2 linked regions of the Oryctolagus cuniculus genome follow. The protein of the gene in region 1 purifies or fractionates together with the protein of each later gene. This does not show direct contact. Links are inferred from orthologs where the notes say so. Each region holds a gene or a part of one and is shown on either strand. Other genes may lie near its edges.

Region 1 (3,813 bases):
GGTCACCACGGGGTCCCCGGCCTGCCGGCAGAGGCAGCGGGTGAGGACGGAGGAGGATGACCTGCCCACTGCAGAGGATCCTGCTGGCGGCTGCAGCCGCAGGAGCAGCCGTTGCCTGGTGCCTCTGCTGTTGCCATGGCGACAACGGAGGTGCTAACTTGCTAATGAGTCCCCTCGGCTGCAAATAACAATACTAGGGTGGTTAATAGGGCCACGTTCCAGCGCGAGTGTTCCTGGGGAGGCAGGGCCAGCCAGGTACGAGGCCCCAGAGCCAGTCCTCCCGCCCCCCTGCAGCCCCTGCCCCCAGCCTGCCTTGTCGCTAGGGCTCAGGTGCCCCCCTCCGCTGGCCTCGATGCCCATCGGTAGATCTGCACCCACGTCGGGCAGTGTGGATGCCAGGCCCTGTGCTGGGGGTCCTGCTGGCTTCTGTTTGAGCTGAGGGACAACCTACCCACTTAGCAGATGAGCACATTGAGGCTTTGGCTCCCTGGTGTCCCCTCCCCACTATGGCTCTCTCAGGTGCTGGGCAGGGGTGGGGGTGTGGAGGGCAAGTGGCTGTGGCCTGTCACCACTTCCAGGAGTCACCTCACTGGGCAGGGACCCCCTCAGGGCAGAGATGCCCAGGGCAGGCAGGGACCCCTCAGTGGACCGGGAGCCCCTTGTAGGTGCAGCCTGGAGGGCAAGTGTCTGGGAACCGACCCCTAATCCTTGCCCACCGCTCAGAAGTGCCACGTTCCTCAGTAGATTTACCCTGTCTCACTGGCCCACGGGGCAGCAGGAGGCACCCCAGGCTACAGGGGAGGTGGCGGGGACTGGACACAGAGACCCCAGCAGGCGAGCAGAGGGGCCGGGGCTCACCGCGCGGAGGGGCTGGGAGCTGCCCCAGCAGTGGGCAGGGCATGCCGACCTGGGGTCAGCTGCATCATGGCTGCTATGGGTGACATGTGGACATTGTGTTTCTCCTACTGCTGCCTTGAGCCTCAGTTTCCCGTAGTTAATTCAAACTGTGTCTCCTTGGGGGCTGTGAGGCTCGGGTGGGCCTAGAGCAAGGCCAGTCCTGGCAAGTGGTGGGGAGCTTGGGCCCTGCAGGGGCGGGGGCGCAGGGGCTGCCAGGGGCCCCAGATACCAAGCTTCCTCCTACTTCCTCCATGCACCCCTTAGCCTGAGGGTGTCTGAAGCCATCTGAAAGCCCCGGCACCCCAAGCATCCCAGGTACACTGACCTTGGTCCTAAGGCTGCCCTCACTCTGTGAGGCAGGAGTGGCCCCCATCACAGTGCCCAGCCCTCCCACCCTCCTCCAGGAGCCCGTCAGTCCAGTCCCCACTGTGACCAGGATTATCGGCTTAGGTCAGCCGCTGTGCACACTAGGCTGGTGGTGGGGAGCAGGGGAGATGCCGAGGCGGGGAGAGGCAGGTTGGAGTGCGACAGGCAAGTTCTCTGCTTTGCCAGGGGCCCTGGGAAGCCTCGGAACCAGAGAAGGGAGAGGGCTGCATCCAGGTGTGGATGAGCCGTCCTGGAACTGTCAGTCAGTGAGCCCCAGGGCCCCGTGGAAGCTCCCCCTGGCCCGACCCGGCCTGAGACCACCCACCTGGCCCCGCCGTGTCCTGCTGAGAGGCCTGCAGGATAGCTGGGCAGGGCTCCCACGGACCCTCCCAATGCGATGAGGCCTCAGGTCACACTCGGGGAGGGGGGCCCCTGACACTGGTGCATCCCTGGAGCCCCGGGAGCTCTGACCGCCCTCTTCTCCCCTCAGGTCTGCTGCCATGCGCTAGGGCACTCGGGACGCGAGGCCACACCCTCCTCACTCCGGGGGTCAGCCTGCCCACTGCCCCACCATGGCCGGGGACCGGCTCCCGAGGAAGGTGATGGACGCCAGGAAGCTGGCCAGCCTGCTGCGGGGCGGGCCCGGGGGGCCCCTGGTCATCGACAGCCGCTCCTTCGTGGAATACAACAGTTGCCACGTGCTCAGCTCCGTGAACATCTGCTGCTCCAAGCTGGTGAAGCGGCGGCTGCAGCAGGGCAAGGTGACGATCGCCGAGCTCATCCAGCCGGCCGTGCGCAGCCAGGTACCCGGCCGTGGCCGCACCGGAGTCCACAGCTGAACGGGGGCCTGGGACCAGGCAGCGAAGCCGGGCTCCAGGATGTCACTGGGGAACCTTGCCCCCACTCCCCACGTGCTCCTCAGCACTGCAAGGTGTCTCCTCCAGGGAGGCCCTCCTGCCGCATCTCCCCAGCCCCCTCTTTCCTGAGCCTGCTGACCCCACCTGGGGGTCCCGGGCTCCCCGAGTTTGCCTCCAAACACCCAAGGCAGGTCGGTGCCCCCAAGGCCCAAACAGGGCTCAGAAAGGAGCCTGCTGAGTAGAGGGAGGTGGGACCACGCAGGGGTACAGCTGGACGCAGCTGCTCTGACCTGTGAGGACAGGGTGGGGGGCTGGCAAGGGGACTGCAGTCTTTAGGGAACATTGTCCCAGCTCGTTCCTCCCCAGGACCGCCCAGCTAAGGGGGCCAGGAGGCCGGGGCCGGGGACCCGTGCAGGTGCCCCCCCCCAGGCCTCCGGCGGGGCACGGGGCACATGTGGCAGCCCGGGACCTGGTCCCAGGTGGGACGGTGCATTTGGCTGTGCCCCCACTCCAAGCCACAGCAGGCTCCCTGCCGCTCCAGTGGGGGGAATCTGGTGATTAATCACCCCCAGCGAGGACTCCAGGCCGGAGTGTGAGCCTATTGGCTGCTGGTGACATCATCCAGCCCGGGTTGGCGGCTCAGCTGGCTTAAGGGCTGAGTGTGCTGGGGTGGGGAGGGGGGGTGGCCGCTGCTCTCTGAGCAAAAGCCGCTTAACATCTGGCCCCATGGCCCCTCCCTCAGAGTGGGGGAGGGGAGGAGGAACCCCAGCCTCCAGCTGCTGCCTCCGGAGTGGGGGTGGGAGACACTCCTGCTGCAGCCCTCAGGGTCTCCACGGGGCTGAGGAGGGAAGGAGAGGCCCAGCAGCTCCAGCGAGACCCCCACCCAAAAGACTTGCCCAACTCCTCTGCCTGTGCCCAGGCCCCGGCCATGTGCCCTGTCACTCTTGGTGCCCAGCAGGTGCACCCCCCCCCAGCCATCACCTGCATCTGCTTGACGCCAGCCTGGCCACAGGGGACACACGTGTCCCCCCTCCCCTGTGTGGCTGGAGAGGGCACGAGCCCTCTCTGTGCCTCCCCGACCCTGTGGCTATCTGTGTGGGCCTGGACATTTATACCTATCCAGGTGTGAGCACACCTGTGCCCCCAGCAGGCAGAGAGTGTGTGGGCGTGGGCAGGGCACCTGCCATCCCCTCAGGCAGCAGCCCTTTCTTTGGGCAGGGGTGGGTGGGTGGCAGCAGGGGGCTGGGCTGTCAGACAGGTGCAGGCAGCCCTGACCGCTGCCCTCACGGCCCCCAGGTAGAGGCCGCGGAGCCGCAGGACGTGGTGGTCTATGACCAGAGCACGCGGGACGCCAGCGTGCTGGCCGCCGACAGCTTCCTCTCCATCCTGCTCAGCAAGCTGGACGGCTGCTTTGACAGCGTGGCCATCCTCACAGGTGAGCTCCGGGGAGCCTCCCTCTCCGCAGCCCCCTTGCAGCGTGGCAGGGCCCGAGGGCGTCTGCGGAGGCCACGTCTGTAGGGGCCCAGGCAGGAGAGCAGGGGGATCCCTGAGAATGACTCGCTTGTGCAGGGGCGAGCGACCGGGAGAGACCCTCTCTGGGAACCCCCTGTGAGCTGGGACCGGTCCCACCCTGCTGCCCAGGGGCCAGTACAGGGCTCCAGGGTCTACACATGGCCTGGCCAGCCAGCCCCCC
Region 2 (3,813 bases), on another chromosome or scaffold:
CCCAAATGTTCCAAATCTTTAGAAGAATTAATATTTGCATGACTATCAACTACAGTCATACAACAGAAAAGATTACTATACTATTAATTTCTTAATCTGTTAGCATTCTGTTGAAAAGGGAGGGGGAACCACTGACTGACACTTAGCTATATGATACAACTAAAATTTTTGTGGGGATTAGTTAGAAATAACTGAAAAATATCCTTTGACACAGCACATTTCCTGGAATGTTTCTTAAAGGCCTATTCTCGCATGTGCACAGGAATACTGTAGAGTTGTCTATCAATGTAATAGACTAGACTCAATGAAAATGCTCTTCAAGAGGCAGCTGGATATAGAAATTGTGATACATCACAGAGCAGAACCAAATGGGGCAGTCACATGAACCGAGAAACACCTTCAAGATGTATGATTATTGCAACAAGGCAAGTGTGCATAGTACACATAGTGTAGAACAATCTGTGACTTACAAACGGTAGGAGAAGGGAGAGGGCATACACCAAATACAGCTGCATTTTTACAGACTAAGGAAAAATTCAAGAGAAACACTAATGTGTATTTGTGTTTGGGTAGAGAACTTGGAAAATTAAAATTTGGTCAGTGAGAGAAAGGGACATACTTTCCACTGTTGTAAAAACATTAGGTATCATATTATCAATAAATACCAGTTATGAATAATGGAAAAATATCATTAATTTCCCTAACATGATGAACAAATCACATTTCAAAGAGGCAGAAGCTCTTTCAATTTTCTAAGAATCTGATAAATGTTACCTTTCCATTCTTCTATCGTGTGTTCCCTTTCGTCTAACTGTTTGTCAGGAATCTTTGGTGGTGGCTGGAAAACACAAAGCAACAATAATGGAGACAGTTTATTGGGAGTATTATCAATCAGACAGGAGACTTGTAAAAATGCACCATTAGACCAAGACTGATCAATCGTCAACAACCTTCTTATATATATAGACAGACCAGTTTTGGAAGATTCCTTCACTGCAGAAAGAATGATGCTTATCTTTTGCTCCAGCTTTTGACTTTGTTGCACATTTATATCACAGAACTTTGCAAGGCTTTGGATAAGATAATTTTTTTCTAAGGTAAGACGTTTCCCAGAGCATTCAATATCCTAGCCTCTCTGTCCCTCTGATCAGGTATCAAGGCAAGAAATACTAGGGGGTGACTTGATTTTGTATAGGTGTGGCTTGGACATGACCTTAGCTTAAGGCGCTCTTCATGTAAAAATAGAAAACACCATTATAACATTCCTATTTTTTTACTTAAAAGTACAAGGTCTCCTGCAAATGTAACTTAATGCCAACTCTAAAAATGCAGCATATTCTTCAAACATTAAGAAAGAACTTACGGCTTCTGCTTCAGAGGGATCGTACCAGACATTGATGTATGGGTGCTGGAGAGCTTCGTCTACAGAGATCCTCTTAGATGCATCTATCACCAGCATTTTAGAGAGCAAATCCCTTGCCTGACTGGCTGTAAACATAATGATGTTACCATGCTTGTACTCAGAAAGGTTCTCAATTTATCAATAAATTTTCAGAAACCTGATATTATCTTTTATTTTAAAAGCCTATGTTTTAAAAACAATAAATTTTACTATAGCATCAGGTCATACATAGGATTAGAAATATAAAATTAAAGATAAAAATAACTAAAACCTCACTTCATCCCACCATCCACAGATAACCTTGGGTTTATGTCCCATAAGAATATGAATACGCACACACCCCACACATGAAATGGGACGACATGTTTGTAAAAAGTACCTTTAAGCTTGTTGTGTTCCGAGTCAGCTGGGAAAAGCACATCGGGGAAGAGCCTCTCAAAGCTATATCCGGCATACTTAGGTCTGTTTTCCACGTAAGTCCTTACTGTTGGTTGTAGTTTCTTCATGAACTCAGGACATGGTGTTCCCAGCTGTTCAATAACTTTATTCCACTGATCAATATCTAATATCAAGTAGCTAAGAAAAATACTCTGTATCTAATGTTCGACACATTAGTTATATCCACATTAAAATACAAGAAAATGGAAATTTCTAAAATCCCAAGAAAGAATGTGGCGGTTATAAATTTTGTATCTCACAGCCACCTTGCAAAAGGCACTGACGGTAGGTGACAGAAACGATCAGTGAATGAGCTCTGCCGACCCTGTTGACTGTGTGTGTGTCTGTGTGTGTACAGACTGATTTCACCATAAAAGCAGAAGCTGAACCTGACCACACTGTAAACATTAATTATAAGTAACTCAAACAAAAAACTCATGGTTATTACTATCCACTGGGATTCTAAATGTAAACTATACATAATTTTAACATACAAAATTGCCATTTTCTTCTAAATTATCAGAAAATTTGAATGCATTTCCTAGAGAATAAGAAATATTTCTACAATCTGTTTTGCCTTTGAGTTTTCCACACCAAGAGAGAATAATCAGTAGCAAGAAAAATTGTGGCTTTGATAAAAGCGGCATTTTCCTTTGCCATTCTTTATTTATCCGATGTTAATTTTCTGTAAAGTTCTGAAACTTATGAAACAGATCCGCAACTTCAATAAATTTTAAGGTTAGGATTCCCTGTTTTCCTTTTTCCTAGCTTTTACAGAATTCCAAGACCCTGAAGTCCTCATTCTAAAACTCAAAGTGACCTTTCTCATTCTTCCTCCCTAAAGAATTCTAAGCATTACCAGTTAACAAAAACTTAAGAGATCAGTGTTAATATGAATATGGAAAGCAGTCAGATGAACAAAAAGCATGAACCAAAATTTAACCACCACCACATAAAACTACTGCTGCTGAAATTCTCAGATGAAAGAATCAGTATGTTGAGTGATGAGACAACAATCAAAAAACACAAATACACACAGTAACAAAAAGTGTGGGGGGGAACAGACAAAACAGAAGGATGGCCAGATGCAACAGATAATTCCAAAATTCATATTAAGTTGTAGGTGTTTTTAGACTTACTCAAGTGTATTATTAGAAATTTTTAATGCAAGCCATGACTTTTGATTTAGTTCAATAAATCAACTCAAAGCCAGCCAGTAATTATGGGTGATTACACTTGAGCAGGTTTCAGTATTAACTTATGAAACAATCAATGAGGGAAAGGAGAAGTCTATGCCAATAGCAGGTGGTATTTTGAAAGAATAATTTAACAATGCTTATATTAGGGAGAGACAGATGCATTATACCTGACCCAGCTGTCATACATTTTGACCTTTAGAAACTACACTTTAGGCCAAAGATAAGGATACGATCTGTACCTGGGAACAAAACACCACCTTTGATCATTTCTCCCATGATGCACCCAACTGACCAAATGTCAACTGAAAACAAAATGCAATGACATTAACATAAAGATTTTGGTTAAAATAAAAAAAAATAAACATTAAAAAAAAGTCACGCACACCATGTATACTTTCAAATTATAAAAAGCAGTATAAAATAAAAATGAGTGACAGTGAATGTGCTCTGACTACCAGCAGAGACTGTATGTCCTGCTGCCAGATGCAGCCTATGAATATTTCAGTTTCTTATCAACAATTTTTGAACTATAACAGCCACAAACTTTACGTCTGTTTTTTAAAAAATGGTATGTATGAATGTAGCATCTTATTTTCATTGGAGAACAGAAGGAAGTCCATCACCTAACTAAACTGCTGCAGCAGCACAAGGATACAGTCCCTTCCTGGAAAGAGGATTTTGTGGCAAACCATTTCTCCCATAATGCACCCCACAGACCATAAATCCACTATATGTTTGCAGCACAAAAGAAGGAAAAGCAAAGCAAAAGGTCAT

What was found.
Region 2: the proteins of DUSP8 (region 1) and MAPK8 purify together in Homo sapiens (affinity purification with mass spectrometry; 3 studies listed by BioGRID and IntAct, counting the BioPlex papers as one, with this or other methods). This does not show direct contact. The link is inferred for Oryctolagus cuniculus from reciprocal best matches to the Homo sapiens genes DUSP8 and MAPK8.

The regions. Positions count from the first base shown.
Region 1 is NC_091432.1:1,916,290-1,920,102, forward strand, and holds part of DUSP8 (dual specificity protein phosphatase 8), read left to right. Parts: exon of another isoform or gene 1-1,428; intron 1,429-1,753; 5' UTR 1,754-1,835; coding exon 1,836-2,066; intron 2,067-3,416; coding exon 3,417-3,555; intron 3,556-3,813. UniProt on the Homo sapiens protein: Has phosphatase activity with synthetic phosphatase substrates and negatively regulates mitogen-activated protein kinase activity, presumably by catalysing their dephosphorylation.
Region 2 is NC_091446.1:81,421,075-81,424,887, reverse strand, and holds part of MAPK8 (mitogen-activated protein kinase 8), read right to left. Parts: intron 3,767-3,813; coding exon of another isoform or gene 3,695-3,766; intron 3,342-3,694; coding exon 3,270-3,341; intron 1,965-3,269; coding exon 1,782-1,964; intron 1,489-1,781; coding exon 1,364-1,488; intron 839-1,363; coding exon 775-838; intron 1-774. UniProt on the Homo sapiens protein: Serine/threonine-protein kinase involved in various processes such as cell proliferation, differentiation, migration, transformation and programmed cell death.